4 separate regions of the Mus musculus genome follow, and all the other regions are reported to be linked to region 3. Evidence: microRNA targets listed by miRTarBase, many of them from high-throughput screens and not tested one by one. Region 3 holds a microRNA gene; each other region holds the end of a gene's coding sequence.

Region 1 (7,933 bases), not on the chromosome of region 3:
AGACGTCCTGGAATGGGGCGAAGATCCAAGACTCAGGGGCCTCTTGGGGACTGAAACCTGGAGAGAATTGGCAAGTCACCGGGAGGCAGGGGTTGGGGTCACCGGGTCCCAGGTGACCAAGACGTTTTATACGTCTTTTTTTTTTTTTTTTTTTTAGCTTAAGATTTGAACCTCAGGCCGGGCGTGGTGGCGCACACCTTTAATTCCAGCACTTGGGAGGCGAATTTCTGAGTTCGAGGCCAGCCTGGTCTACAGAGTGAGTTCCAGGACAGCCAGGGCTACACAGAGAAACCCTGTCTCGAAAATAAAAAAGATTTAAACCTCAGTTGATCTGAGGGAAATGGGTTCAAGATAAACTAAGTCGGCAACCCCCTGACCTCCCCGTCGCTCACCCAAGGCTCACCCATAGCAGTAGCAGCAGCGGCTGCGGCGGTGGCGCGCACCTCGAGCAGGGCGCTGTACCATGCTTGCTGCTCTGCTTCGCTGGCCGCCGCCACGCCCAGGCTGCTGTCGCTGGTATAGATGACGATCAGGTGGCGCTGACGGGCATCCGCGCGCTTGCTAATAGTGCAGGCACCCTCCAGGCTAACGGTACGCCGGGGTCTAGGTGGGCGGCAGCCGCTGGCCAAGAACTTCTTCTCGCTCTCGTAGCACTCCAGGCGTGGTGGGTCAGCGCGCAGCACGAAAAAGCGGCGGCGCTGGGACTTCTGCTTCCTCAGATGGCCACAGAGCCGCACGTCGGGCAGGCAGGGCCAAGGAAACGGTGAGCCGAGGGACACGTCGGTGCACTCGCCCCCGGAGGAGACTGTGGGGCCCGTACCTGCAGGCTTCATTTCCAGCCAAAGACAGTAAACTGTCCCCAGAAGGACTGATTTGAATGGGTCTGGCCCCCTGAGCTACCACCCGCTTGGAACAAGTAGCCCTGGGAAACTGCAGCCGGCCTAGCTGCCCTGCATCTCTCCACGCCCTCTCCTGACTTGGAGTGAACAAGGAGCCTGTACACAGGAGTGCGTGTGTCCCAGTGGCCAGTGACACCAGGACTCCTAGGTCTAAGGGAGGCTGACCTAGCTGGGTCAGCCTCCTTGTTGGAATCTCCACCCCTTCAAGTTAACCCTCCCACGCCCGAGTGCAGGAATTTGAGTTTAGGATTCATAGGCTAGAGTAGGAGCCCTGCACCGCTGGGACCAAACTTTCACAGGGGCGGGGAGTGAGGGGGGGCATCTCTACCAATCAGCTGACTGGATGTGGGGGTGGAGGAGTACCGCCAGAGGCAGCCCGGGGCAATCTCGAAAGCCAGAAAGCCAGGGTGCAGAAGAAGCGGCTGTGGTTAGCAGTGATGGCACTAGTAATTAGAAGAGTGGCCTGGCCTAGCGGGCCATCCTGATAGCGGCAGTTCTCCAGGGAGGAGCCTCCGAACTGAGCCTCTAGTTGTATAGGTCCTCAGTGTTCTTTCCTTTCCTACCCAGAGATGATCTTTGTGTCTTTGCTTCTGAGCTATCTGAGTTTGGGTTGATGGATACCCCAGGATAGGAAAACCAAACTAGATTGGTCTCTGGTAACCAACCGCACCCCCACCCTCTCCAGATTCCCACGCATGCAAATGTCCACTGAAGGATGTGTGAAAGAGGACTTAGTCTCTCAGAGACACCTTCCTCAAAGTGCCCCTGACCACCAGCCAAATGCCAACTTGAACCTGATGGTGGCTGTGGTCACAGGAGCTGGGATCCTGTGGCAGACGTCCTGGTGAGCCCGTGTATCCTGAGAGGTTTGGGTGGGGCTGGAGATCATAGGCCACAAATGCACATGCTTATTGGAGGCTGGAAGACAACCTCTCGTATTCCTCAAGAGCGATCCCTCTTGTTTTTGAGACAGGCTCACTAGAACTTGTCTAGTAGGTTCGATTTGCAGGCCTGGAAGGCCTCAGGCCTATCATATGTCTGACTCCACTTCCCCTGCCTGAGGTTACAGTGCATGCTACCACACCCAGCTTGGAAAATAGTACGTGTGTTGTACAGGCTGTCCCCTGCATGTGGTCAGAGGTCAGCTTTTGGAAGTGGGTCCTCACCTTCTACCTTTTTTTGTTTGTTTGTTTTTGTTTTTTCGAGACAGGGTTTCTCTGTATCGCCCTGGCTGTCCTGGAACTCACTTTGTAGACCAGGCTGGCCTCGAACTCAGAAATCCGCCTGCCTCTGCCCCCCAAGTGCTGGGATCAAAGGCGTGCACCACCATGCCCGGCTAGCCTTCCACCTTTTTGAAGCAGGGACTCTCTCTGCTGCCGCACTGTGTACCCCAGGCATTTAAAGATAGTAGTGGCCATTATTTTTTTAGGCAGGGTTTCTCTGTAGCTCTGGCTGTCCTGGGACTCAGAGAGCTGCCTGCCTCTGCCTTCCGAGTCGTGTCCTGTTGTAGTCTTCTAGCTTGCTCTAGAAGTGCTGGGGTTGTGATGGACTGGGATTCTACTTTCCATGTGGGTTCTGATGATCAAATTGGGGCCATTGGATCTGCACAGCAAGCACGTTTCTAATTAGACTACGTCCCCAGCCCCTTGGATATTTTGTTTCTCTACATTAGGGTCACATGGGGGTGGGGAGTGGTGTGACACATTCTGACAAAGCTTAGTTGACAAGTCATGGTACCTTAGCAGACCTGCCAATGCCCTAATGTCGTGGCCAGCAAAATCCATGTGGGGAAAGATAACGGTATACAGAGAAGAAAAGGCCAAGCCCTGAGACCCTGGTAGGGGACTTGGGGGAGGGGCTCCCTTAGGTAAGGGACCCATGTAACAGGTAAACAGAACCAAGACAACCTGGGTCGGTCGTCTTCTCAGCATAGTTCAGGGGCAGCCCAAGCAGCAGAGGTCTATGACCCATTTGTGATCCTGAATCCTAGAGAAATCACTGCAGTATGAAGCTGGGTTGGAATCCGTCCCCGCCCCAGTCAGGTTTCTTTGTGAAGTCCTGGCTGTCCTGGAACCCCCTTTAGAGGCACTCAGAGATCTGACTACCCCTGCCTCCCAAGGGAGTGCTGGTCTTAAAGGTATGCACCACCATTGCCTGTCTGGTTATAAACTGCACATCTTTGAGCCCCCTTTCAAATGCTACACGGAAAGCAGACACCCACTACCAACAGACATCATAGGTATGGGCCTTTCGTGCCAGAGGCCTGCCCCAGGTGCCTCCCAACCGTGCAGAGCCCCACCCAGAGCTGAAAGAAATATTCAACGTTCAGTCGGCAAATCCTGGAAGATGGCCCCGTAGATAATGTACTCATGCAAGTTTGAGACTTGAGCTGGGTAGTCAGGTTACACAGCTGGACATGGCCATGTGCAGCCATAAACCCAGGGCTCTCCCAGTGAGAGGGGAGCGGAGACAGGATGGTTTCCAGACACTCTCTAGCCTGCTAGCCTGGAGTATGCAATGGCGAGCAAGACTCCATCTCAAAGGAAACTGAGCTTCACTCCCTCAGGATTGAGTTGAAGCATCCAGGAAGGGTCTTTTCCTATCTTCTTCCTGCCTCCCTGACCCTGGTTATCTTGCAAACATCTGTCCTTGTGAAATCACATCTGCTGTCACAGAGGCTGCTCCAAATGTTCTGTGTCACTCAGCCCTGGAGTGCTGGGTAAAAGATAAAGCAGGAAGCAGCAGCCACCCAAGGACCTGGGGTGTGGACTAAGAGAGAGCATAGCAGTGTGCAGTAGTGTACAGAGAGGTGAGCAGTGTCTGGTGACGTGATACGCTGGGTACCAGAAGCCTGGCTTACCTCAGTTGCCATAGCAACAACTCTACCTAAGCACATATTTTATAGTCTTCTGAAACCTCAGCAACTCAGGAAGTAGCATATCTGGGGCTCTGCTAGGTTGGGGGCATACCACATCTCTATGGAAGACTCTTGTTAGCAGGAGTAGGAATCCAGAGGAGAACCTTTGAGATGGCTTGTGATTCTTCTCTGGGTGTGTGTGGGTGGGTGGGTGAGGGGGACAACTAAGCTACGTAATGAGGCTTGGTACTAACAGAAACTGCCCATGGGCGATTGGCTGACAGACAGACCCGAGCCAGGGTAGCTGTCACCTGCATAGCGTAGCTAGAGCATTGGCCAGGGTCGGTGTAGAGAGAAGGACATGGCCAGACGTGTATAAGTCAAGTTCCAGGCCCCCCCACCCCCGAGGTGTGTATGTGCAAGTATGTGCATCTGTCCAGACTTACAGCCGTCAGGTGAGGCTGTGCAAAGAGGACAAACAAGCCCACTTGGTTCCTTTTTTCTATACACTGGGGATGTTTCTGTTGTTTTTGCCACTGGTCTGGAGAGGTTAGACGGAGGAAGGTTGCTGAGCCCTTCTCTGCCAGGGACAGTGGCTTCAGCCCCAGCCTCAGCTCAGGGGATGTTTGAGGCTAACCCTGGGTAGATTATCAGTCAGAAGACTGTCCAGGGTCCACATCAGACAGAGGGACAGGAGGGGAGGAGGCTAGGAGGACCTGGACACAGGCAGCAGGCAGGCAACAGGAAATCCCTGGGATACAGTGCAGTTTGATTTATATATAAAAGGGGCCCTGTTTTTTTTTTTTAGGGTCCTTTAAAACTAAAGTTATCTGAAGCCAGAGTGTTCCAGGGAAGCTGTGTTTAAAAAAAGAAAAAAAACAACCAACCTTGCCCTTACTCCTGGCTTCAAGCAAAATGGGGGGAAAGGGAAGGGCCAAAGATATGGCTCCTTTGGTAGAATGCTCGATTCCTAGCACCTTGTGAAACTGTGTGGTGGCATGTCAGAAATTCAGTCACACTTGGTTACACAGTGTGTCTGAGGCCGGCCTGAGCTCCACAGTGAGTTCCATGCAAGCCAGAGCTACACAGCCTCTGTGACTATGTCTCAAAAGGAGCAGCAGCAAAAAAGAAATGGGAGGGGCAGCCTGGCGTCGGGGCACATACCTGGAATCTTAGCCCTCAGGAGACTGAGGCAGCAGAATTAGTCTGAGGATAGCCCAAGCTACATAGGTAGGAGAACTGGTGGTGGTGGTGGTGGTGGGGAACAGACTGACATTATTAAAGATGAGAAAAGAAACAGAAAATATGGAAAAATCTAGTACAAAGGCTAGGGGCCAGCTGGGTGACCTCCCTCCCCCCTCACTCCCTCCCCCCCCTCCTCCCAGGAGAGGGAAGGAGGGGAGAGGCTAGGCTAGCGGAAACAGTAGAGACTGAGTCTTATTGCAGAGGGAAGGCCAAGCCTGGCTTAGCAAGAGCTACAGATCTTTCCAGAAACATCTATAAAGCAAAGAACTGACTGATAACTTAATGCCCACATCCCTTTGCTGGTCCCTATGGAAGGCCCAGAGAAATCCTAAGAATGAATAATTTAAAGGGCCAGGAACTCTTGGCGGAGGTCTGAAGGGCGGGGCCTCCCAGGGTAAACAGCACGGCCAAGGCCTGGGTCTCTCTGCTGGAGGGGAATTTATCTCATGCACAGGCAGCGCAAAACACCTGGCCGATGACACAACAGCCTCTGGTAAGGAACTGCTGGAGGCGCCGAGAATACTGAGAGGCGGTTTACTTATCAAAGCTACACTCGACCAGCTCCCTGGCACCTGCCGCCCTGCGCCATCACTACCTTTCAGCCCCAGATCGGGACCCTCACTGGTCTCCGGGCTTCTTGCTAACAGAGGGTGCGCAGTTCAGGTCACGTGTTTATCAGCCCAGGCAGTGAAGATCAGAAGATCCAAGTCAAGGCTCAGTCCTGTTGACTGACTTGTGTCCACTCCAGCTGGCACAAAACAAGACACTCAGAGCTTTTTTTTTTTTTTTTTTTTAATCCTTTCAAACGCAATCTTTTCCGACATTGCCTCCAAACAAGCTTTGGTGCAGATATTTGAGAACAGAGGGAGGAATGTGGAAAAAAGAAGAAAAAAAAAAAAAAAAAACCAAACTCCCCAGCCAATCGCAGACTTTTCATTGGAAAAGCCTAGCCTCTGGGGTACCCCTTCTCGTGTGTATTGTGGAAAGCGTCAGGACACTTGGTTGTCCTCCCCTGAGCCCTGGGGCTCCGGGTTTGATTATCCAGGCACAGGCAGGAGTTACCCTATTCTTCAAGTTCCCAGGAGGAGTCTAGACAAGTGCTCTACCACTGAACTACATCCTGAGTTCTCTGTTTTTACTTTTTATCGTTTTGTTTTTTTTTTTTTTCTTCCTTTGAGACGGAGGGTCCCAAAATTGTCCAGGCTAGTCTTGAACTTGTGATCCTCCTACCCAAGTCCCCCAAGTTCAAGGGTTGTCTAGGAGAAAAAGAATGGCCAGCGGTGTTTATCTGTTTACATATGTGTATGCATATATATATTTATTTATGTATATAATAGGCTATATTAGAAAAGTCTCTATTTATAAATATAAAACACTGGTATCCAAACATGACAGGGCTAACTAAAGTGCTTGACAGGAGGCGGGCACGCATACTCTGTAGGTCAAACTCCCCCACCCTGACGGACAAGATGAGGGGGCAGCTAGGAAGAACTGAGGTGGAGAGAAGTGGGTGTGGCCGAGCCTGGCAAACAAAAACACTAGACACCAGAAGCTCCGCAGTCCCAGGGCTATCTGGTGGCTTTCAACACCAGGCCTCATCTTTACCCTACATTCGAGCTTTGCTTCCATCTGGGAGGACAGCGGCAGCTTTGGAAGGTTGGGTGTGGAGGAAGTTGCGGCTGGGGCTGTGCCTAGCTTCTCTCCCCACAGGCCAGGAGGGACAGGATCGAAGACTGTCTTCATAATTAATAATCTGACAGAAATACACCACTATGGGGTCTCCTGGTGAGAGTATCTTTGCTCCTTGTGGGCTTCTTCCTGGGTAGGTGTCCAGCAAGGAAGAGGAAGCCCCTGGGCGGCAGACCAGGAGGCTAGAGTCTGAGTCATCTCCAAGTCACACTTCTAAACCTCCCCTCTTCCCAGATCCAGAAGCCCCGCAACCCAGGCCCAATCCCAGCCTCAGACCCACAGAAATGCCCCACAGGCAAATGGTCACCAGAGCTCTGAGGGGTGCAGAAGTAGAAGTTGTTCCCCACACCCCCAGGAGGGGAGAGCCCCTTCTTCCCCCAATGACACAGTGCTACAAGAATGGGTTTGTGGTTGGAGGTTTGGAGGCAAACGCTGAGGATCCAGTCTGCAAAGAGACAGCAAAAGGTTACTAGATTAGCGGGGCGGGGAGGGAAACTGCTGGAGACCACCCAACGTCACCACTCGAGAAACAGACAGTAAGGGAGATTAGGGGACACTGAAGGGAGTGAGGGACTGAGTGGGGCCTGGGAGCTGGGTGTGGATGGACACACCTGAGATCTCAGCACTCAGATGTCTGAGGCAGGAGGAGCCTGAGTTTCAGCCTAGCCTGGGGTACACAATGCGACTCAGTCTCAAAAAAAGGGAGGAGGTGGGCTGTGTGTGTGTACTGGCTTCATGGGTACCTAATCTTGAATCCTCAGCACCCATATAAAGCTGGGGTGGTCTCATGTGCACCTACAACCTCGGTGTCCCTCGAGGGACAGAGACCGGAGAACCCCTGGGGTTCACCAGCCACCAGACTAGTTCCAGGTTCCATGAGAGGCCCTATGTCAGGTGGAGCGTGATAGGGAAGGCCACCGGAAGTCCTCCTCTGGCCTCTGTGAGTGCATGGGTACACACACATGCACTCCAGGAAGGGGTCTTAGTTATACCCCACATTACCACCTTCTGGAAAGATCTGTGTGTCTCCAATGTCACAGTGCAGTGCTTACCATGAAAGGATTGGTAGAGATCCCAGCCGGCTGGCTCAGTGGCCTCTGCCCCAGCTTAGAGGTCCCCAAGTCGCCAAAGGAAGATCCTGGGAGACAAGGACAATAATTTGGTTGACTGTGTCTCTCACCTTCCTGAAGGAGAGCAGCTTGCTACATTCCCAGGGAGCACCCAAGAGGGATCCTTCCAGAAT
Region 2 (7,933 bases), not on the chromosome of region 3:
GGCTTATAGCTCAGTGGGTGGAGTGCACATAACTCAGTGGAGAGAGTGCTTGAGGCAGAGTGGGCTGAGTACTTGTAGCTCAGTGGGTAGAGTGCCTGTGGCTCAGTATCTAGAATGCATATAGCTTAGTGGGCAGAGTGCTTGTAACTCAGTGGGGAGAATGTTTATACCTCAGTTGGTAGAGAGTTTGTAACTCACTGTGTAGACTGTCTATAGCTCACATGGCATAGTACTTAACTCAGTGGGTAGAGTGCTGGTGGCCGAGTTGGCACTAACATGCCCCAAGGGCTGGGCTCCATTTCTTACCATGTAAATGGAAAGCCAGTCTGCATCCGTGGCATATAGGAGATTGAGGCTGGAAGACAGGGGTTTAAGGTCATTGTTAGGGGTTGGAGCCCAGAGTGCAAGCTGCCTACCTGCTTGCTCTCACAAATCCTGGTAAGTCTTTTTCCCACAATAGAGATACCATGTGGTGGTGTGGGTGGAATGAGCACCTCAGTTGATTCTGGCATTTTCTGGATCCAAGTGGAGTCTTCTCTGCTAACACAGGGACCTCATCAAGAAGCTGCTGGTGGTGGACAGGACCCGACGCCTAGGCAACATGAAGGTGAGTCATGCTAGAGCATTCCAGTTTGCACACTGACGGTGATGTCATCCACTAAGAGGATCCCAGACCATGCTCAATGTTAAATTAGTTTTTGGCTTGTTTGTTTGTTGCTGGTTTGTTTTTATTAATTCTGTGTATGTACTACTCAGGTTTATTACCTGCCACAGTGGACTCAGGTCCCCTGCAGCTGCAGTTACAGGAGATTGTCTACTTCCATATAGATGCTGTGAATCTAACCTGGGTCCTCTGAAAGAGCAGCCATCTCTCTGGCCCCTATTTGCTGTTTTCCTGTAGCCCAGACTACAATCAAAATCACTATGTTGTAGCTAAGGATAACCTTGAACTTGTGACCCACTCAACCTCCCACCTCCCAGGACTGGGATGACATGCATATGCCTCCACTCATGGTTGACTTATTCTTTATTTTTGAGTATTTATTTATTTATAAGACAGGGTCTCAGTATATACTTCTGAGTGTCCTAGAAATCTCTTTTGTAGACTAGGCTGGCATCAAAGTTATCATCTGCCTCCTTCTCCAGAGTGCTAGAATTAAAGGCATGTGCCACCAAACCTGGCCACTTAATTTATTTTTAAATTGCTTTATTGGAGATTTTAGAAATGATACACATGCACACGCACATACACACACACTTTTTTTTTCAAATGCTTTTTACTGAGTGTTTATGTTTCCTCTCAAGAATGGGGCAGAAGACATCAAGCGGCACCGGTGGTTCCGAGGTGTGGAGTGGGAATCTGTGCCACAAAGAAAACTGAAGGTGGGAGTATTATACACCCTTGAATTAAATGAACAGCTTCATATATGGTCCTAACCACCCAGTGAGCTCCCACTACTGTGTCTCAGTCTTCCAAATTAATTTACTAGAGGTTTATTGTCATTTATTTTGCGCTTGATGTATGTGTATTGTTTCTGTGTTCATGCGCACCATGTGACTTCAGTACTGGAGTACCTTCAGCCTCTCATAAAATTTGTATTCCAAGTGACAGGCATTACATGTCCCCACTGGGCTACCCAGTGTCACCTCATTCACTTATTTTATTTCTTTGTTGCTTTGTTTATTTTGAATGACTCTCAGCCACCCATTGTGCCCAAGTTATCGGGTGATGGTGACATCTCCAACTTTGAGACTTATCCAGAGAGTGAATTGGACAAGACACCTTCTGTATCTGACAAAGACCTGGAAACATTCAAAAATTTCTGAGGATGAGAACTCATGTCTGAAAGGTAAAACTTTTTTTTTTTCTGAATTTCTAAGTAGGGTGTCATGTAGCCAAAGATAGCTTTTAATTTACCATGTAGTTGAGAAAATATACATTCAGTGCAACTGAGAATGATGAATTAACCAGTCTGCAGGGTTTCTTACTATGTATGATTGTCAGGTAACTCAGTAGTAAATGTTGATAATCTCTGAACCCTCCCCCTTCCTTTTCTTTGCCAGATGTATGTGAAGACATCGATACCACACCATACCACACCACAGCACAACATACCACACCAATGGCCAGAACCTTTTTTGTCGTACGTTTCCATTTCCTACTATGAAACTAGAAGGTTTGGTGTGTGTATTCCAGTTCCTGAAAGATCAATACAATCATCACCCTTGGAACCCAGCCTCATTTCAACAACTGGAAACCTGCCCAATGAGAATTCGCAAAACCTGTTAAATTGTAGGTTTTCTCCTTCTTCATGAGTCTTGTGTTTGTGCTGTGAATTTTGTTTCTTTTTTTGTTTGTTTGTCTTTCTACTGAACTTTTTAAGTTTGAATTTGACCCATTTGGTTTTATGGCTGTCAGTGTATATGTGCACAGAAATTGTGCAAACTGGAAATTTTGGCACTTTGTGCTTGTGACATGTTCATTTTTTAAAGCTTTCTGAAAAATCTTTCACCCTACAGGCAAAAAAAAAAAGGGTGAGATATATGCTTTTTAAAAATGCCTTTCTATGCATTTTGCAATCATTTGTGTACATTGTTTATTTAGTTACTGTTTGTTTATTTAGTTCCTTTCTGGTCACTTTAAACTTGGAAGTCAGGAAGCCACATGCCCTGCAGACCCTTATTCAGATATAGCACAAATGTGTGGCTTTCCTCCAATCTTCCAGTTTAGATGTTTTCAGTAAAATATCCCTTCCTAAAGTTAAGCCAGAACTCTGCATACAGCATGGCACCTGGGTGCAAAGATTGCCTTTTTATGATAATACAAATGTACCCACATCCCCACAAGGGAACTTTAAGGATCCACCCCTTAAGCCCCTCCCTCCTCTGTTGTAAATGGCATTTTCTTCTCACCATCTTAACTTTGTTCTCCCAGCCATGTCCGTCCGTGAAAACTCAGGTTCCAGGCCGGGAACTTCTATGAAAGTTTGTACAGAGCTGTATTTTTGGTGAGCTTTCTCAGTGCTTTCCAATATGCAAACTAACTGGGTTATGTACCTCAAACAAACAAACACATACAGGAGATAGAATGCAGGATTATAATCAAGTCCTGTCAGTAGATGTTTGCTATTAAGTAGGAAATAACATGAAATTAGCATAGGAAATATTGCCTTAATTCTAAACACACATGGGGAGATCACACATGCGCACATGCACCCTCTGTGTGCTCCTAAAGCACCTTGCAATCTGACTCCAATCCTAAAAATCAAATAAAAAACCCTTAATCAGGCTGTAAATCAAATGACACTATGCGATGTCACTACAGTGACATCAGACATCATATAGGAATCATAATTTTCTATTTTAAGATTTTTAATTCTGTGTGTACATGTGACTGCAGTACACACAGCCAACAAGTGCACCAGAGACCCTACAGCTGGACTTATAGGCAGTTCTATGCCGCCCTGCGGATGCTGAGAACCAACCCAACCTCGATCCTCTGCAGTCCATGTAGTTAACATGCAAGAAGGGGTGGTAAGGCAAAAGCAGCCATGAAAAAGGGTGAGGGAAATATGTCCTGTTCTTAACTCTGAGTCCAGGGAGAGTTGTGCACCCAACACCTTCTCATGAAACAATGGAATAGTTAATAAATTTCAAATTTCTCTGGTGGTAGCTTGATTCGAACCAAAGTATAAAAGATAATCACTAGCAAATAAAAATTTAAAAACAAATTTCTGGGCTGGAGAGATGGCTCAGCGGTTAAGAGCAGTGACTGCTCTTCCGGAGGTCCTGAGTTCAAATCCCAGCATCAACCTGGTGGCTCACAACTATCTGTAATGGGATCCGATGCCCTTTTCTGATGTGTCTAAAGACAGCTACAATGTACTTACATATAATAAATAAATAAATCTTAAAAAGCAAAAAAAAAAAAAAGGAAATCCCCTCTTTTAAAAAAAAAAAAAACAAATCTCTATGCTCTTCAACTAAGACTGACTTTAATGTTTAGTACAGATAAAGTACTACGTGCTGTGGATTGGTGCTTGTCTCACTAAACTAGCTGTTACATGTTACACTGTAGAATGTGATTTGATGGCTTAATACTGTTCACAGGACCCTCTGGCTGTGCAAATATCCCAACATTGGACCAAAACATACCAATCACCACTGTGTTGCTAGGTGAACCCTAGTGAAAATTTAGCATTGTGTGGGTCTTGATGTTGAGGTGAAAATCACAGAAAGGGTCTCACTTCTGACTGTAGATTTGAAATATGTTGATTTCCTGGGATTTGTTTGTTTGTTTTTGTTATTGTTTTGGATGAAGCTCCGTAGGAAGCATTTGATGAACATTCAACACCTGTCATTCTTATTTGTCAGAACACTGTAAACCACCTGAAACTTATAATGCAAAGTCAAGGTTTATGTGTGAGTTGGTGCCCCCATTAGGTTGTGTTTGTTCCCATCAGTTTAGGGGGAGGATCTGCTTCCCAACTGTTAAATGTTACTATCAAATCTGCCTTTGAGTCTCACACCCTTGCATCTGGCCTCACAGTTATTTGGGAGAGGGAGGTTGCTCCAGTTGGTTATGTAATAGACATCATGACATCATTATCTGTGTGACTTAGAGAAAGTGAGCACCCCAGCGCTCCTGGTCCTCACATGTCAGACTAAAACCCCTTGTCACCTCCGTTCTTCTCAGAGTGTGGGGCTCATCACTTGACCTGCTATAACACAGGTCCCACGTGCACTGTTCAGGTGCACCCCCCCCCCTGCTGCCGAGCAACCGTCAGCTTGCCTGAAATTATGCAGAATGAAAAAGCCTGTTTCTTTTTCCTTTTTTATCCTGATGCATATTAAAAAAAATCACTGTGATTTGTGTGTATATCTCTCTATATATTTGCCCCAGGAAAACTTTCTGCTGTCTAATTTATAAAATACTATTACTGAGTCCAGGTTTGTTTAATAAAAGTTTGTATGTTTTAAGAAATCTGTTTCAGGTCGTTTCTTGACTTTTCCTGTAACACAGGGTAACACCATAAAACACAAGTCATTGACCATGGTTAATGACCTCAGTGATCCAGTCACCAACAGTAGTTGGTGCCCATTTCTCAGAGGCAGAACTAGTGAAGCTGAAATGAAGTTGGGTTAATCAAGGAAATTGGTCTGCACCCCTGTAACAGGTTGATGATTGTTTTGAGGAATATTAGTACCCAGGATAGTGGAAGTATTACAAACTTCAGACGTCATTAACTTGGGGGATGGGGGTAGGGTGGTGCATAACCTAAGTCACAAGAGTGTGCTATGTGGGATTTCTTTTCTGGTCCTTATACGTTTCTGTGCATCTCTTTATTTTTCTTTTACTTTTTTTAATGAATAATATCTTTATTTACATTACAAATGTTATCCTCTTTCCCAGTTCCCCTCCCCAGAAGCCCCCTATCCCATCCCTCTACCCCCTGCTTCTATGAGGGTGTTCCCTCACCCACCCACCAACTCCTACCTCCCTGCCCTCGATTCACCTACACTGGGGTATCGAGCCTTCACAGGACCAAGGGCCTCTACTCCCACTGATACCTAACAAGGCCATCCTCTACTACATATGCGGCTGGAGCCATGGGTCCCTCCATGTGTACTCCTTGGTTGGTGGTTTAGTCCCTGGGAGCTTTGGGGGATCTGGGTGGTTGATATTGTTGTTCTTCCTATGGGGTTGCAAACCCCTTCAGCTCCTTCAGTCCTTTCTCTAACTCCTCCATTGGGGACCCTGTGCTCAGTCCAGTGGTTGGCTGTGAGCATCGCCTCTGTATTTATCAGGCTCTGGCAGGGCCTCTCAAGAGATAGCTATATAAGGCTCCTGTCAGCATGCACTTCTTGGAATCCACAATAGTTTCTGCATTTGGTGACTGTATATGGGATAGATCCCCAGGTGGGGCAGTCTCTGGATGACCTTTCCTTCAGTCTCTGCTTCATACTTTATCTCCATATTTGCTCCTGTGAGTAGTTTGTTACTTCATCTAAGAAGGACCAAAGCACCCACACTTCGGTCTTCCTTCTTGAGCATCATGTGGTCTGTGAATTGTATCTTGGGTATTCCGAGCTTTTGGGCTAATGTCCACTTATCAGTGAGTACATACCATGGGTGTTCTTTTGTATCTTGGTTACCTCACTCAGGATATTTTCTAGTTCCATCCAGTTGCCTAAGAATTTCATGAAATTATTGTTCTTAATAGCTGAGTGGTACTCCATTGTATAAATGTACCACATTTTCTGTATCTATTCCTCTGTTGAAGGACATCTGGGTTCTTTCCAACTTCTAGCTATTATAAATAAGGCTGTTATGAACATAGTGGAGCATGTGACCTTGTTATGTGTTGGAGAATCTTTGGGGTATGTGCTCAGGAATGGTTCTCTTAGTTTTAATCTATTGGTTTCTGCCCTGACTTTGATCATTTCCTGCTATCGCTCCTCCTGTGTGTGTTTGCTTCTTTTTTCTAAAGTCGTCAGATATACTTTTAATATGTTAGTATGAGAACTCTCCAATTTGTTTATGGAGGCATTTGGTGCTATAAACTTTCCTCTTAACCCTGCTTTTAGAGTGTCCCATAAGTTTGGATATGTTGTGCCCTCATTTTCATTGAATTCTAGAAAGTTATTCATTCCTTTCTTTTCTCTGACCCCAGTGATCATTGTTGTTGTTCAGTTTTGATGAGGAGTATGTGGACTTTCTGTTGTTTCTGTTGTTGTTGTTGTTGTTGTTGTTGTTGTTGTTGTTGTTGTTGAAGTTCAGATTTAATCCATGGTGATCTGATAGGATGGGATTATTTCAATCTTCTTGTATCTGTTGAGACTTGGTTTGTGACAGACTATATGGTCAGTTTCGGAGAAGGTTCCGTGAGGTGCTGAGAAGGTATATTCTTTTGTATTTGGGTGATAGATATATGTTAAGTCCATTTAAATCATAACCTCTGTTAGTTTTGTTATTTCTCTGTTTAGTTTCTGTCTCAATGACCTGTCAATTGGTAAGAGTGGAATGGTGAAGTCTCCCACTATTAGCGTGTGGGATTCATGTGTGATTAATCTTTAGTAATGCATCTTTTACGAATGTGGGTGCCTTTGCATTTGAGGCATAGTTGTTCAGAACTGAGATGCCTTCTTGGTTGATTTTCCTTTAGTGAGTATGAAGTATTCTTCCTGGTCATTTCTGATTGCTTTTGGTTGAAAGTCTGTTTTATTAGATATTAAAATGGCTAGTCCATCTTGTTTCTTAGGTGCATTTGCTTGAAAAACCTTTTTTTCAGCCTTTATTAATATCTATCTTTTTGCTGAGATGTTTCTTGTGTACAGCAGAATGATGGATTCTATTTACACATCCATTCAGCTAGCCTGCGTCTTTTAACTGGGGAATTGAATCTATGGATGTTAAGAGATATTAATGATCAATGATTGTTATAACTTTCTGTTATTTTGATGGTGGTAGTGGTGGTAGTATGTGTGTGTGTTTCTCTTCTATTTTAATGGTGTGGATCTATTTATTTATTTATTTATTTATTCATTGTATTTTCTTTAGTGTAGTTAGCCTCATTGGGTTTGACTTTTCCTTCTAGTATCCTCTGAAGGGTTGGGATAGTGGAAAGGTAGTTTGAATTTGGCTTTGTCATAGAATATCTTAGTTTCTTCATCTATGTTGACTGAAAGTTTTGCTGGGGCAGTGAGCCCCGTCTGCCAGACCTTCAAGGTTCCACCATGTTCTCGAAGGTGAGTATTGTCAGGCTGTCGGCCTGTGCCACGCAGCCGCAATGGATCCAAGTTTGAAACATGGCAACTCTGAAAGATATTACCAGGAGACTGAAGTCCATCAAAAATATCCAGAAAATTACCAAGTCTATGAAGATGGTGGCAGCTATAAAGTACACCCGGGCTGAGCGGGAGCTGAAGCCTA
Region 3 (7,933 bases):
TCTGCTACTGTAGCTGTCGATGTACACGGCCTGAGGGAACTCGCTTTGCAGCAGTGAGATGCGAGTCCGCTGGTATAACTCATCGTCCGCCGGAGAAAGCCGGTGTCCCCGACGCGGGTTCCTCCTGCGGAGGGCTAAAGTCAGGAAGTCGTGGCCCGGCCGGACTATGCGGGATTGAAAGGTCCGAGGCCAAGTGGTCAGAGGCTGGACAGGGGATGCTCACCACAGCCGGTCGACGTGCCGACAGAGCGGCGCAGGTCGCGTTCGGAAAAGGCAGCGAAATCCTAGAGCAGTAGCCATGGCTGCAACGGCGCTTAACGACCCGGTCGTAGGGACAGAGTTGTCTGTCTCAAAGTAGCCACAGCGCCCCTTGCGTCCCGGAGGGCACCGCGCACCTTGAACGGCGCAGTAGGCCAATGCAGAGCCTCTGTCTCCCCATGCGGGTGTGTCAGCACCTGTCGCCCACCCCGCCCCATGCCTCCAGCGACAGTCCCTAAGGAGGAGGGGGAAAAACACCTGCTAGTACGGGCGCCCTAAGGGTATTGTTTAGGCCACTGCCGCGGCCTGTTCCTGGGATTCTCAGCCATTATTCGGGCTCCCAGGGACCAGGGCGGGGCAGCTGCGCACCTGGTCCTGTTATGAACACCTGGCCAGGGTGTGGTGCCAGCCTCCAGGCCCTTAATCCCAGGCTTTGGAGAATCGGGCTCCGGGGGCGGGGCAGATGGCTAAAATTTCCCTAGCTAGTCTCGAAATCGCTGCTTTCCCCAACCGTCACCAGCGCGACCGTTGGCGACGGCGCAGCGCTCCATGAGAGGCGTGGCCGAGCATGGATTGGCTTCCCGGCAGCGCGAGGGGGTGTGGCCAGATGGTTTCTCCTTAAAATGGCTCCAAGTCTGGGGACAGCTAGAGCCAGCGGAAGGGCACGCCGTGGCAGTGCTGGAGTAGCTGTTCGAGTGGGACTGACTGGGCCAAACCGGACCAGACGTGAAGTAGACCGCGCCTGGAGCACCACCCCGCCCTTGCGCGCTCTGCGCGCGCGTACCGAGAGTCTCCCTCCCCCTGTCTTGAGCTGAGTCTAGGGCCTACTGGCGCATGAGTCCTTGGCGTCCCGCGGCATGGGCATCTCTGCGCACCGGTTCTGTCCTGGCCTCAGAGGAACTTTGTCGCGTTCTCTATCCGCTGGACTAGACGGGTGGGATGCTTGACACAAATGGGGCTTGGCTGTGGGGTTCTTTGCAGGGCCGGTTGCAATGGGCTTGGGGGGAGGCTGTCCTGCCGCTGCTATGTGGGCCAGTTTGGCCCCTGGCACTTCATGAGCTGGCACCGTCACCAGACAAAAGGTCCTAAGCTTTGGGGAGTCCCAGAAGTGGACACATGGGTTTACTTCCTCTCGGGTCTCACGGAATCGCTTCCCTCTTGACGGATTCCGAAGCCTGCCCGGTACAAGTGGCTCCTGCTTGGGACTCACAGGGCTAATCCAGCCCTTCTGATCTAATCCGGATCAGGACCTCGTCCCGGGGGATGCCCCCACCTTCTATTGTTCTGGGGCCCAGGTGAGCGTCTCATTCTCACTAGACTGGTTTAAAACACCTACTCCTTCCTACTCAGCCCACTGGGAAGGGATGGGCGGGTTCCGGTTTGGCCTCAGGGCGAGTGACCTGGGAGCAAGAGCCCTCCTCCAATGGCTGGACAGCGGGCAACGGAATCCCAAAAGCAGCTGTTGTCTCCAGAGCATTCCAGCTGCACTTGGATTTCGTTCCCTGCTCTCCTGCCTGAGCAGCGCCCTGGCCCAGATAATGTGGTCTCTATTCTCAGAAACACTACACTACTGGGCCATTCTGATCTCCATCTCTCAGGTGCACCCCCAGACTGATGGTGGCAGTCAGAGGCGACGAAAAAAGCTCGGGCTGATGGCCCTGTCTGGAATCCCTGGAGAACTCTGACCAGGGAGGTCCTGGGTCCTCTCTCTGAAGGGCCGCAATGGCGGTGAGTCCCACAAGGCCGCCCAGCCCGCAGCTCGCTAAAGATAGATCTTCACTTCCTGGGGAAAACCCACCCCAACCGTCTTCATGGAGGGAGAGTAGCTAAAATCACCAACTTGCTGGTGGGTCCCAGCCCTGCTAGCAGCTGAACCCACACCACAGCATGGAAAGTGCTTTGGAATGACACGATCACTCCCGTTGAGTGGGCACCCAAGAAGCCATCGGGAATGTCGTGTCCGCCCAGTGCTCTTTCGGCACCTCCCAAACAGGGCCTCATAGCCCCGGCCTTCCCGAACTTTTCCTATCTCTAGATGTCACTCCTCTCCGGAGCAAAGTTCACCGGTTGGATTCATTCATTACTGGGGGAAGTGGAGTTTCACGTTACTTGGAAACGAAAGAGTTTGGACATAGAAAAGCTCACCTGCAGCTTGCTCTACCTGAGAGCTCTGCTTATTTGGGTCTTCTCATCATCACATTTGTCTTAAACTGACCAGTTGCCTAAAGAACCAAAGGTGCCGGTAACACCAGTTTAAAGGAAAAACATTAAAGGCTGGTAATCCTGGAATCATGATGACTAATTCCTCGGGTATCAAGATGGGCAATTCTATCCGATTGGGCTTTTACTGGGAATAAAGACATTCCATACCGCAGCCGAGGAAAGGCGTACCAATAATCAGAACTCAAATTTTGCTTTGTTTCGTTACTTTTCCAAGTAGGCGGTAAAGAGTCTTTAATGGAAGACACGAGTGGTGGCACACACCTTTAATCCCAGTACTCAGGAGGCAGAGGCAGGTGGATTTCTGAGTTCAAGGACTTTCTGGTCTACAAAGAGTTCCAGGACAGCCATGGCTACACAGTGAAACCCTGTCTTGAAAAACAAAGTGTCATTAATGGTACAGCCTTATTCCTTTGACATTTCGTCTCGTGCGTCTGGCCTTTAATTTGTTTAAATGGGGCAGAAAAAGAAAAAAGAGACATAAACACAAAGATGTGAAACTTTGGTGGCAAAGTGTCTTGCCTGGTAACAAAGATCCGTTATCAAAGTAATAATTCGGGGTGACGATTTTTTTAAAAAGGAGGAAAAATGGACCCTCAAATTTGGAGGTTAGGGCTCATGAATACAGGAAAGGCCATCGGGAGGGAGAGCTGGAGGCGTGGGTAGAATGTAAGCTCACTTGGCATGCTCGATCGCTCTGGTCCATTCAGGAGAGTCCACGGCCGGATCCCCGCCCCCGCCAGGCGGACCTCCCGGAAGCTCTACGGATAACTTACTTCCTGTTCCATTTAGTCTTCCGGTCGCCATGGCGACCGGGCGCCTTGGGGTTGGCGAGACGCTGGAGGCCCTTAATGCAGCTGTAGGGCCTGGTAGCCCAGTGTGGTTTAAGGAAACCCATGCCCGGCACCTTCGTGTTCGAGACTTCTTGGCACCGCGAAGCGCGCTACAGGCGCGCTTCAGGGACGGCCAGGTGGGTGCGCTCCTGTGGGGCATGCCTAGCGGGATCCACGGAACTACGGCCCACTTACACACATCTGCCTGCAGGTGCCAGAGTGCGTGTTCCGTGCGGTCTCCTGCCTGCAGGGTCCCGGAGTGGCCCCTGTACTGCGCTGCGCGCCGACACCCGCGGGTTTATCGCTCCAACTACAGCGGCCCGCTGTCTTCGAACATGTACTCGGTGCCCTGGCCTCCTATGCTACTCCCGCCAAACCTGCCTCACCAGGCCCGCGAGTTGTCCTACACTGCCCAGCACTGCGCTGTAATTCGGGGACGCTCCGATTGAGCCAGCTGCGTGCCGTGCTCGTAGCCGATCATCTAGTACGGGTACTGCGTGCTCATGGGTAAGTGCGTGTTCGAAGCTATAATGGCAAAAGACCGAACATTTGGGGATAGAAAAGGTGGGAGTCATGATAATCTAAGCCTGGTCCGCAGGCTGAGACAGCCTCCCTTGCTTTGCAGGGTACGTGTGTGCTCAGTGCCCCCGGTGCGGGACCCTCACATGTCAACTTTCCTCCAGAAACTTCGGGTGGAATGGCCCACTGCCTCGAAGAGCACCTCGACCGAAACACTGAGAACCTGTGTTCTTGCAAACCTTAATGGTTCTAAGGAAGCGACGCTGCCCCCTGGCGTCCTAGGCCGACTGTGTCTGAAGGAACTGGTAGAACAGAGAGGCACTGCTGGCTATGACCCCAGCATAGACCACTGTTTGGGTAGGACAAACGGCAGAACATGGGTGGGGTTGTGTCTCTGCACTGCCAGGCACTTCAACACCTCTTGTTTTCTGTAGTGACTGAAGATGTGCTCTCTGTGCTCTCGGAGCTGCAGGAGGCTGTGCGCCACTGGCCAGAGGGCGGCCACCCAGGCCCGGTGAGTGGCTGCCTTGACCTCTGCCCAAACTGGATTTTTGTATCTTTGTAGTAACTGCCCCATCTCTCCTCAGGCTGGGCGTCCAGATGCTGGTGTAGATGACTGCGTGGTTATACACGTGGTTAGCTGTGAAGAGGCATTCCAGCAACAAAAGCTGGATTTGCTCTGGCAGAAATTGGATGACCGGGCTCCTCACAAGCAGGTTGGTTACCAAAGTTAACCAAACCACCTCCGACCTCAGGCCTGGAATACCATGGGGTTTAGAGACTGATGTGACCATAGGCACCCGTGCTACAAGTGCAAATGTCCTGTGACTATGTAGTCTTAAGAAAAAGGATGATGGTGTCTTGAGGAGGTACGAAGGAAGGCTGGTGGTTACAGATTGGGAAAACCAAGGTAGAAAAGCAACTGATATAGTTCCCTGAAGCGGGGAGGGTAGTGCCAACTGGGCTGAGCCCTTCCAGTCTTTCACAGAAACACCTGGTGTGTGGTCCCGTGAAAATGGCTGGTGTACCCGGCACCCAGCTGACTGCCCCTCAGTACTACAGGTGAGTATGAAAGGGATGCCATCCACAGCCACCAACAGCGTAAAGGTAGGGACAGCTTTCACTGAGACCTTGCTTACTGGCTCGCTTTTCTAGGCTCAGACATGCTCAGGTGTGCGAGGCCTCAGCTCTGAAGCACGGAGGAGACCTGGCACAAGGTACACCTGGGAGATCCTGCGTGTGCGCTGAGGTGGAAGCAGGTCACGCACACCTCTGGCCTGTGTGCTTCGTCTTCAGACACTGACCAGCCTCTCTCGCACCCCAGACCCCGCCTGGACTGAGACCTTCGACATCCTCTCCGTGGCTACCATCAAATTTGAGATGCTAAGCACAGCCCCACAGAGCCAGGTAAGCCTCCCGACACCAGGACGGAGGATGCAGGTACAGAGCCAAGGCCCTCTGCAGCTATGTTACCATTCCCCAGCTCCTCCTGGCCCACAGCACCATCTCAACAAAGGGCACAAAGAGCGGGACTTTTGTCATGTATAACTGTGCCCGCCTTGCCACACTCTTCGAGGGCTACAAACATGGAACGGAGCAAGGTCTGTATCCCACTTTTCCGCTTGTGAGCAGTCTGGACTTCTCACTACTCCATGATGAGGTGAGTGTTGGTCCTGATAAACGTCCACAAGGCTTGGACTTGTCTTCCTAGCACGCTTGTCTCCCGCAGGGTGAGTGGCTGCTGCTTTTCAACAGTGTCCTTCCCTTTCTGGACCTGCTGAGCCAGACTGTGAGTCTGGCCGGCACCCCAGGCCTCCACATCCCTGTCCGCACGGAGATGGTAAGGCACAGAAGACATTTCACACATTATTCTTTATTCTGGGTTGTAACACAAGAAAAAAGACAACAGCTCAACGACTCAACGTCTGTCTCTAGGTATGCAAGTTCCTGGTGCAGCTCAGCATGGATTTCAGCTCCTACTATAACCGAGTACATATTCTAGGGGTGAGCATACAGCAAGGGGGGTCTGCGGGAAATGTGGGCAAGGCTGAGCACACGGGAAATGAGGATGCGCCTGGCTGCTTTTCTTTCAGGAACCTCGGCCACACCTCTTTGGTCAGATGTTTGCTCGCCTACAGCTTTTGAGGGCAGTGCGTGAGGTGTTCCACACAGGCTTGGCTATGCTGGGCCTCCCTCCGCTGAGCCACATCTAAGGGCCCAATAACTGGGAATGTTTATAAAAGCATCAACTGGGAAAGAAACAAGACCTCACAGATGTTGGGCACTTAAAGTCAGAATAAATACAGTTTCATCCTATTGTGAGAGTGAGGCGTGTTCTTGGTCCTCCTATGCAACACCCTACTGGAATACTTGCGAGAACTATGGTACTGCCTCGCCTCCCCAGAGCACACTGAGCGTGACACAGACAGCTGATCCCTGCTCTACTGTCTGCAGTCAGGCCCTGTGCTCAGTTCTCCACCCACTGGGATAACTCAGTCATACCAGTTGTAAACCTCAAGTCCCTGACCTGCCAGAGCACAGCGGTGGCCAAACTCAGGGCTCACAGGCCAGCAGTCCATGTCGGCCACATCTGGCACATGGTACACAGTGCTATTCATGAAGGTGGGCTCACCCTGTCCCAGACGCCAGAAGGTCAGCCGCTGGTCTATGGAGGCTGAGACCATGAGCTTGGGACTTAGGATCTTGACGCCTGTCACATGGGCAGCATGTGCGCAGGGGACGGAATATTCCTCTAGGACACATAACTGGGGCACCAGCTCAGCCTCCCCATCAGCTTCTTCCGGCTCTGGCATCTTCACAGCAAGTGTGAAGACATGCAGGGACCCATCCTCACTGCCACTGGCCACAAGGTGGTGGCCCTCAGGTGTAGGCAAAGTGTGCAGGCTATTGACGCCACAGCTATGGGCTTGCACGGTCATGGAGGGGGTGCCCATCTCTGGAGGAAGAGAGTGGCTGTTAGCTCCCGCTTTTATCTTGTGAGAGAGGTAATGAGGGGTGTCACGGTACTCACGGTAGGGAAGCCCAGGGTGTGCTGGAAGCTCCAGGGTAGTAGAGCCTTTGTCCATTGCCGTGGTGAGATCCCAGAAGGCTAGGCTGCCATCTGTAGCTGCACTGCACAGGATCAGCCTCCTGGAAGCCAGGAGAGGACAGCCAGATCAGTAAAAGGGATGGAAAAACAGGAGCCCTTACCCAACCCACAGAGGGCTGCCTCTCACCGACGCTGGTTAGGTGCCTCATGTGTGAAGGAGTGGACTTTGAGGACACACCGCTTGTGGTGGAAAGACTCAGCTAGGAGATGCAGAATTCGCCCAGAGTCCTGCAGGAGAAAGAGCCTGGGGGCGAGGAGGAGGGGTGGTGGTCTGGGAACCGTCCTGGAGAGCTCACACCCTCCCCCTCCCCTCCCCCTCCTCTGCCCTATGAGCTCACCTCACTGCTCCATCACTACAGGCTGCAGCCACAAGGGGGCCAGGGCCGAGGCCAGGCCTATCGTTGTCAAGCTCACAAATAGCAAGAGACATGTACCTGTAGGGGGTACACACCGGTCAGGTGGGGCCTGCAGTCAGGAGTCAGGACTTTCCTATAACCCTCTCACGCCCCGCCCATGACAGGGAGGCCGCCTTACCTGGTCTCAGGGTCCACCTTGATCATCTTGTGCTTGTTCCGCTGCCGGTCCCAGTACTCATCCAGCCGGTGGGATGAAAGGTGCATGACATGACAGGCAAGGCGGCTGGGGGTGCTAGCGTCCGGAGTGACCATGACGCTGAAGCAGTGAATCTCCGCTCGGCCCCCTGCAGACACTACCTGAGCAGTGAGCCCTGGTCGAGTATCCTGTGGGCCACCTGGGGTGCCAACAGCCCACACTGCCAGGGCTCGCACAGAGGAGATATGGTTACAGACAGAAGTGAGGGCGTGGGCTGAGCCTGTGGTGGTGGGAAGTGCTAGGACACAGACAGTAGTGTCCTCACTGCCTGTTATCACTATGTCAATCAGACCAGGCCCCTCACTGCCAGGCTCCAGGGAGTCAGGATGCTCCAAGTTGGGTACCTCAAATTCAGGGCCCAGGGTCACTGTGCCCACACGCT
Region 4 (7,933 bases), not on the chromosome of region 3:
GACCTTGTTCCATTAAAACAAAACAAATATCCACAATAAAATAAATCAGAGCCAAAATCGTTGCTCATGCCTATAAAAACAGCATTTAGGGGCTTTAGCACAAAAATTGCAATTAATTTGAGACCAGCCTCAACTCTAGTGTCTCAAATATGATTTTAGAATTTAGGGTTCAGGAATATAGCTCAGTGACTGAACCCATGCTTACTGCATATAAAAACACTAACTCCAAGCCGGGTGTGGTGGCACACGCCTTTAATCCCAGCACTCAGGAGGCAGAGGCAGGCAGATTTCCAAGTTCGAGGCCAGCCTAGTCTACAGAGTGAGTTCCAGGACAGCCAGGGCTACACAGAGAAACCCTGTCTCGAAAATCCAAAAAACCAACCAAACAAACAAACAAAAAAACACTAACTCCAATCCCCAGCACCCCCACCCCAAATCAATTTAAAATAGCTCTAGATTTTAGGCAATTTTTCACAAATGGGAACATGGTCCTTCATCCCATATCCCTAAGAGGTGGGAGACAATAAAGGAGTTGGAGCAGACGAAATCGTCACACAGATCTACCTCTGTCTAACTAGATTTCTGTAGGCAGACCATTTAGGAAACGCTGATCAGATCAAGAATATGTTCTAAGCTGGACTGGGGAAAAAATAGGAACATGACCCCAACGAGGAGTTGCAGGTTTGCAAAAGGACACGTCATCTTCCAGCAATGTGGTGGTGACTGACCCTGGACATGCTTACCCTGTCATCTGTTTATGCAATCACATATATATGTAGCAATCTTAGTGTAAAGACTCTTGTAAAATCAAGAACCCCTATTTTCAATCACTTCTTGCTGCTTTTAATATTCCTGGGGAGGTTTACAGGTTGGGAAGAGGGAGGGCATTAAATTGCTGCCCCCCCATACCCATACAGTGGCTTATTATATTTCCTTCTGTCCATCTTTTAATCCTAGTTTCCTCCTCAGATAGAAATTATTTATTCCCTGTTTTATAAGACCACAATTACCTATACTAGTTATCTTTATCATCACTTCAAAGGGCGAGTGACTGAGACACCAAAACAAAAACATCGCATACCAACTGGAAGGAAGCACTTAGTAAAATTGTGTTGAATGAATGAGTAAAAGAAAGACACAAATACGAATGTTTCCCCATGGCGGTGGAGTGGAAATGTTACAGCACCATTTCTGGCACCAGGATCTCCCACTAACACCTCGACCTCCCGCCCACTCAGAGACCCATAGTGAGACTGAAGATGCGCTCTGGCTCGGCCTTGAGCCCAGAGTTGAGAGCTGGTTGGCCCGGTTGCCATGACACCGCCTTGTGCTCCACCCTCTCTCGCCCCCACACACCCCCTCGGCAGTCAGGGTATGGCAGCCAGTCACGTGCCACACAGCGTAACCACACCTCTGCTTCCCAGCGCAAAGTCAAGGGGTCACGTGGGATAGCAACAGGTCACGTGGCCGTCAGGGCCCCGCCCCCTTCCCCACCACACCCCTCCCATCAAAGCAGCCCGGGTTGCCCACTGCGCAAGGGTGAAGATCACGTGTCCAGAACGTCCGGCGCCCGCCCCGCCCCCCGGGTTTCCGCGCGCCTCTCTGGCAGCTGGTCACATGGTGAGGGTGGGGGTGAGGGGGCCTCTCTAGCTCGCGGCCTGTGTCTATGGTCTGGCCCGAAGCGTCCAGCTGCCCGGGACCGATCCCCGGTGTATGGCGCCGCAGGAACCGGCTCCCGGGCCCAGATAAAGGGCCACCTCCAGAGCTCTTAGCCGAGCGTAAGGTGAGTGCAGTCTCATCCAGGATCGGGGGACCAGTCCCCGCCACCACCAGCACCCTCCAGCTCCCCACGCGTGCGCGTCGCTGGCTGATTATGGAAGGTGGCCCAATGGCGGGAAGTGGGGCCTTTGTGGTCGCGGGCAAGGGTGTGATTTTGGAGAGTGAAGTGCAGAATCTTCGGTGCAAACCCTGTGCACTGTGTGATCCTCTTTGTGCCTAGTGCGATGTCCTCCGAAAGGAAAGAAAGCATTCTTTTTCTTCCTCCGGGACAAAACGTGGCCGGAGGAGGAGGGTTTGATGGGAGTCTTTGTGTTACCTAAGGCGCGGGCCCTGGAAGTGTGGAGGGGTGGGATGTTGCTGATCGCGTTGGCGAGGTCTTGTGCAGGAGTTCCTTTGTTACCGCCGGGTCATCCCCCTCCTAACCGTGAGAGTGAGTTTGGTATTAGAAGCCTCTGTGATTGTAGATCCCCTGCTTCGAGAATGGCTGCCACTCGATATGAACCCGTGGCTGAAATTGGTGTCGGTGCCTATGGGACGGTGTACAAAGCCCGAGATCCCCACAGTGGCCACTTTGTGGCCCTCAAGAGTGTGAGAGTTCCTAATGGAGGAGCAGCTGGAGGGGGCCTTCCCGTCAGCACAGTTCGTGAGGTGGCCTTGTTAAGGAGGCTGGAGGCCTTTGAACATCCCAATGTTGTACGGTGAGAAGGTTGGATTGGGAGTGGGGCGGAGAGGACAATAGGACCCGTAAGGCAGGAGTGGGACCCTAGAACGCCAGAGGCCACGTTGAGACAAAGGGGACGACTAGCTGGTGATCATTTGTTCTTCTCAGGCTGATGGATGTCTGTGCTACTTCCCGAACTGATCGGGACATCAAGGTCACCCTAGTGTTTGAGCATATAGACCAGGACCTGAGGACATACCTGGACAAAGCACCTCCACCGGGCCTGCCGGTTGAGACCATTAAGGTGAGTAGGGGTGGGGCTGGGGGCGAGGGTGGACCGATCTTTGCAATAGAAGTTGTTGGGATTTTGAAGTGATACATAGTTTCCGGTGTTCTGTGCTTTCTTCTTGAAAAACAGGATCTAATGCGTCAGTTTCTAAGCGGCCTGGATTTTCTTCATGCAAACTGCATTGTTCACCGGGACCTGAAGCCAGAGAACATTCTAGTGACAAGTAATGGGACCGTCAAGCTGGCTGACTTTGGCCTAGCTAGAATCTACAGCTACCAGATGGCCCTCACGCCTGTGGTCAGTAAAAGGCGTTAGCCGACTAGGTTGTGATAGGGGTAGCTCTTGGTGGTTTCCCATAGCAACTGAGGAGTCTTGTACATGAAGTTTTCAGAGCCAGGCAGGTCTGGTTCGTGAGGTCGACACTCACTCATTTCTACTATTCTCTTCAGGTGGTTACGCTCTGGTACCGAGCTCCTGAAGTTCTTCTGCAGTCTACATACGCAACACCCGTGGACATGTGGAGCGTTGGCTGTATCTTTGCAGAGATGTTCCGTCGGAAGTATGGGACTAGAAACTTTTTGTTGTTAATGGTACAGGGTTAGTCCTGGCCGTAGATCAGGTTGGCCTTGAACTCACAGAGCCCTGGGATTAAAGGCATGCGTTACCACCGCCCGTATGGGACTTGAAGCTCTTAACCTACCTTCAGTTGCACATAGCTTTGGCTGCTTGTCTTACTGTGCTAGAGGTTGAAATCAGAACTCACACACACTCAGTAAATGCTTCCGTGCCACTGAACTTCACACTCCGTCGGCCCCCAAGTCTTTTACAGACATGCCTGTTCTTGACCATTCGCTTTTGTGCATGTATGGTACGGGACATCCAGCCTACCCAGTTCATACTGACCACCTTGCCTAGAACCAAGAAACCATATAGGCATGCCCTGGATTTAGGATCTTCCCGTTCCTCGTCTCCACACTCTCTAGTTGGGTCTACATAACGGTTACTCCTCAATTTTTTTTTTCTTTTAAAAATGTATTTATTTCCATGTATGTGAGTACACTCACTGTCTTCAGACACACCAGAAAAGGACTTCAGATTACATTACAGATGGTTGTGAACCACCGTGTGGTTGCTGGGAATTGAACTCAGGACCTCCGGAAGAGCAGTCTTATCTGCTGAGCCGTCTCTCCAGCCCCCACTCCCCTATTTTTGATATAACACATACTTTGAGTCTTTTTCTGCCTTAGGCCTCTCTTCTGTGGAAACTCTGAAGCCGACCAGTTGGGGAAAATCTTTGAGTAAGTATTTGATAAGGAAAAGGAAAGACATTTCCTGCTGCCGCGGAGACAGGAGCTGGGAAAGGCCCCTCCTAACAGAGTTGTCCTGTCCCCACAGTCTCATTGGATTGCCTCCAGAAGACGACTGGCCTCGAGAGGTATCTCTACCTCGAGGAGCCTTTGCCCCCAGAGGGCCTCGGCCAGTGCAGTCAGTGGTGCCAGAGATGGAGGAGTCTGGAGCGCAGCTGCTACTGGTACTGGACCTGGGCGGGGATTGGGTTAAGATAAGAAATACCGTGGCCTGGGGAACTGGCTCAGTGGGTAGAGTTCCTTTGCATAAGTGTGAGGACCTGAGTTCAAATCCCCAGAACTCATATAGAAGTTGTGTGCTTCTATGGTGCTACTCCTTTTTTATTTATTTATTTATTTTTAAAGATTTATTTATTTTATGTATGTGAGTACACTGTAGCTATCTTCAGACACAACCAGAAGAGGGCATCAGATCCCATTACAGATGGTTGTAAGCCACCATGTGGTTGCTGGGAATTGACTCAGGAGCTCTGGAATAGTGGTCAGTGCTCTTAGCTGCTGAGCCATCTCTCCAGTCCTGTAGTGCCACTCGGGGCGAGATGGACAGATCCCTGGTAATACAGCGCTGACAGAGTCTCCAATGAGATGGAAGGCAAGGACTGGCAGCCCAGACTCTTGACCTCTGCATGTATACACGCACATGTGCGTGCCCGCATTTCACACATGAGCACGTGCACGCAGAGATGAAACAGACGGGCCCAGACCAGCCTGAAGCTAAGATGTAGCTGTGGGCAGGCTGTAGTTGTCACTGCTGTTGGGAATGGCCAGCCAGAGTGGGACAAAGGAAACAGCCATGTTGGGTGGGCATCAGCATCGGCTCCTGAGCTGTTTTCTGACCTTTGTCCTCTCCCTTTAGGAAATGCTGACCTTTAACCCACATAAGCGAATCTCTGCCTTCCGAGCCCTGCAGCACTCCTACCTGCACAAGGAGGAAAGCGACGCAGAGTGAGAAGAGGGGCTGCCTTTCCCAGTCTTGGTGGAGAAACCCTCGCTGAAGCGGCAGCCTCTGTTTCCCCCCAAGGCTGTGGAGAATCCTCCAGTTTTTTACAGAGAATATTTTAAGCCTTAAATAACAAGTCCCCACCTCTCCTTACGAGGTTCACCCCCATTACCCTCCCCTAGCTCTACACTAAAGGGCAGGTGTATCTGTCTTCTTCCCTCCCTGATTTATACTGGGATCTTTTTTATACAGGAAAACAAGACAAGACAAAGAGTATGGTCTTTATTTTTCTTTAATGTTTTTTCCAATTGGCTTTGCCACTGGGAGACTTGGGGAAAACAAAACAAACAAACAAAAAAAAAACACGAAAACAAGTTCCCTGCAAGGACCTAGGCAGGCAGTCCAGCTCTTTGGCTGGCAAGATCAGAGAGAAATGCTTTCTTTGAATATTCGGTCAAAATGGCTTTAGTTTCTAAGTTCACTGGTCCTGCTTTGATGAGACTGTAGGTGGGGCTGGGAATGACAACTGATTGGTAGAAATGCTTGCCGAGCACTTGTGAGGCCCTGGGTTATAACTGGTTTTCTCTTGGTGTTCTGACTCTGTCCTTGAAGCCAAGGGTCTTGGGGGGGGGGTGCAGTTACCCTCCTAGGGCCCGAGGCCTACCTCCCCTCATCCATAATCGTGTTCCCATCAAAACAGACATAAGTCCAACCACCAGTTCTTGGGGGTGAGGTAAGGGACCTCTTTTCTCTAAAACAAAACCATAGGGCCACCCCTAGGTGTTTGTAAAGATGGCAAGGCCAGGCAGTGGTGGTGTACGCCTTTAATCCCAGCACTTGGGAGGCAGAGGCAGGTGGATTTCTGAGTTTGAGGCCAGCCTAGTTTACACAGTTCCAGGACAGCCAGGGCCATACAGAGAAACCCTGTCTCAAAAAACAAAAAAATGGCAAAGCCAAGTCAGAAGGATCCAGGGGCTGGCTGAGTGTGGTGATGCCAGCAGGAGGCTGAGGCAGGAGGGTCTGGAATTCAAGGTCTTCCTTGGATACAGAGCTAGCTAGAAACAGCCTAGGCTGCAGAGATGCTATCTGGGAGGTCAAAAGTCTCATAGGAAGGCACTGGGGTTGGCTCGAGGGTCCTTTTGATTCCGGAATCTCATTGCTAGCCAAACACCAAGGATCTACGGGAGAGGAAGAGAGAAAGGTTATTTCTGGACCATGGGGTTGAAGGCTTGAGTGTGTACATGAGGAGTCATTACCTCTGTGAAACTAAAGAAGAGCCCAACACCTCCTAGGATCTTGAGGGCTTTGTCTGAATGTTTAAGGAACCTCTCCCCACACATCTGGCATGTAGAGCTCTTAGTTTTGCACACCTGGTAACAGACATATATAGAGAATTCAAAGTTGCTCACCTGCCCTGTCCAAAAAGCTGTAGTGAATGTCCCAGGAATGACTAATCCTTCATCTTACCGCACTACAGGAAGTATCATCTTGTAGGCGCAGGGTTGTAAGGTTGAACAAGCCACAGCAGTCAAAACTTCTCTCCAGTTCATGCCGGGTACTGTTGCTCAAGACCGACCACGAAGCATTGATGACATCTGCCTAGAGAGCACACAGGCATTAACATTCGTTAGAACATTATTAGACATTAGTCTCCTCACATACCCTTCGGTTCAGGAGTCTCCATTTCCCTGCTTTAGCAAGGAAAACCCCACAGAGACCGCAGCGTGATCATTGGTAATGTGAGGTGTCTCAGGGTCTCTCTGCATCTTGGGGAATTAACCATATGTGTCAGGGAGCACACATCTGTGGAAGCAGTGGGTCTGAGCAAGGATGAGATGAAGGGGTCAGATAAAAGTGGAGAAAGCAAGCAAGTACATGAAAGGGCTTACCCTTACCTGTGTGTTTCTGTTAATAGCCAGACATGAGCAAGAGATTCCAAACTGGAAGATGAAGACCAAACCTAGGATGATCATATACTGAGAAGAAGTTAGGGCAAAAAGACCTGTTTTCCATTTAAAATACCTCATTCAGGGAGACAGACAGACAAAGCTGTGTGGTAGCCAGCCTAGTGTGAGCTCCAAGCTAGGACTACATAGCATAGGCCCAGTTTCTGTCTTTAAAATCTCACCACTGTAATTCTAACTGCGATGTGGCAGGCAAGGGGGCAGAGTTCAAGGCCCTTCTCTGTTCACAAACTGCACTTTTTATCAAGTTGGGGGAAAACCGTCAACTTGTGTGGGTTACAGAGTAAGAACAAAGAGACGTGTTTGAGGTCCCCTGGTCCCCTTCCCAGGAAAAGCCCGCTCAGGCCCCAATCACTAAGGCCAGGATACAAAGAAGAGCAGCACTTGATGGTGGTTCGCGGCGCCCACCAGTCCTGCCACCGCGATGAGGAGAAGGAAGACTCCCACAGCAATGACTCCTCCAATGATGTGAATGCTAGACACCACACCGAGGCCCTTGCCCCAGGCAGCCACGCCAATGAGCAAAAAGCCCACAAGCTGCAAGAAATAGAAAGAATACACTTTATTCAGCCTGATGTGGTGGCTCATACCTGCAACCGCAGCACAGCGAAGTTCCAGGTTAGTCTGTGCTAGCTAGCTCGCTATACAGTGAGACCCGGTCATCGCCAAAGATTTCTAGCAATGCAGCACAGCCCAAGGCTATATTACAAGGGGACGTGGACTTGACAAGCTAAGCGCTTGAGGTGTGCAGTCAGTACTGTTCATCTCTAAGCGCACTTCCCAAGCAACTGGGAATGACTGAGAGAGAGTAGGGCAGGGTAAGTAGGTACCTAACACACAAATGGAAGCCTTGGCGTTGTCTAGTAACTCTAGTTTGGGAAGAAACTGGAGCAGAAAGTGAAGACTGGAACTATAGGCCCTCAGTCTCCAATC

Evidence for each region. The annotated mature microRNA mmu-miR-425-5p reads AAUGACACGAUCACUCCCGUUGA and lies in region 3 at 2,162-2,184, shown strand. An mRNA with a match to its seed (bases 2 to 7 or 8) in the 3' UTR can be bound and repressed. Matches are read on the target gene's strand: a 7mer-m8 pairs with bases 2 to 8, a 7mer-A1 pairs with bases 2 to 7 and ends in A, and an 8mer does both.
Region 1: the mRNA of Agfg2 is a reported target of mmu-miR-425-5p. Seed matches in the 3' UTR shown: 7mer-m8 at 7,071-7,077.
Region 2: the mRNA of Prkx is a reported target of mmu-miR-425-5p. The part of its 3' UTR that is shown has no 7-base or 8-base seed match.
Region 4: the mRNA of Tspan31 is a reported target of mmu-miR-425-5p. The part of its 3' UTR that is shown has no 7-base or 8-base seed match.

The regions. Positions count from the first base shown.
Region 1 is chr5:137,644,688-137,652,620 of GRCm38, forward strand. It overlaps Agfg2 (ArfGAP with FG repeats 2), which reads right to left. Exons shown (of 12, transcript NM_178162.3): 11 at 7,743-7,828; 12 at 5,776-7,135. The coding sequence ends at 7,082. Irs3 (insulin receptor substrate 3) reads right to left here and starts at 1,027. Exons shown (of 2, transcript NM_010571.3): 1 at 404-1,027; 2 at 1-57. The coding sequence starts at 833.
Region 2 is chrX:77,758,023-77,765,955 of GRCm38, reverse strand. Prkx (protein kinase, X-linked) reads left to right here. Exons shown (of 9, transcript NM_016979.2): 6 at 550-607; 7 at 1,306-1,383; 8 at 1,702-1,850; 9 at 2,065-4,984. The coding sequence ends at 1,827. It also overlaps the pseudogene Gm8722. Among named protein-coding and RNA genes, the nearest start is that of Prkx, 34 kb to the left of the region's middle.
Region 3 is chr9:108,566,628-108,574,560 of GRCm38, forward strand. Mir425 (microRNA 425) reads left to right here and starts at 2,150; the gene lies at 2,150-2,234. Ndufaf3 (NADH:ubiquinone oxidoreductase complex assembly factor 3) reads right to left here and starts at 809. Exons shown (of 5, transcript NM_023247.2): 1 at 224-809; 2 at 1-124. The coding sequence starts at 300. It overlaps Dalrd3 (DALR anticodon binding domain containing 3), which reads left to right and starts at 3,265. Exons shown (of 12, transcript NM_026378.3): 1 at 3,265-3,448; 2 at 3,523-3,818; 3 at 3,937-4,187; 4 at 4,265-4,344; 5 at 4,418-4,546; 6 at 4,819-4,892; 7 at 4,986-5,047; 8 at 5,155-5,237; 9 at 5,314-5,490; 10 at 5,560-5,670; 11 at 5,766-5,834; 12 at 5,924-6,144. The coding sequence starts at 3,284. The coding sequence ends at 6,043. It overlaps Wdr6 (WD repeat domain 6), which reads right to left. Exons shown (of 6, transcript NM_031392.3): 2 at 7,474-7,933; 3 at 7,278-7,373; 4 at 7,067-7,183; 5 at 6,862-6,980; 6 at 5,684-6,786. The coding sequence ends at 6,323. It also overlaps Mir191.
Region 4 is chr10:127,061,977-127,069,909 of GRCm38, forward strand. Tspan31 (tetraspanin 31) reads right to left here. Exons shown (of 6, transcript NM_025982.4): 2 at 7,370-7,537; 3 at 6,932-7,012; 4 at 6,504-6,635; 5 at 6,293-6,406; 6 at 5,314-6,214. The coding sequence ends at 6,140. Cdk4 (cyclin-dependent kinase 4) reads left to right here and starts at 1,559. Exons shown (of 8, transcript NM_009870.4): 1 at 1,559-1,783; 2 at 2,244-2,477; 3 at 2,609-2,744; 4 at 2,859-3,026; 5 at 3,179-3,288; 6 at 3,977-4,027; 7 at 4,125-4,260; 8 at 4,953-5,312. The coding sequence starts at 2,260. The coding sequence ends at 5,045.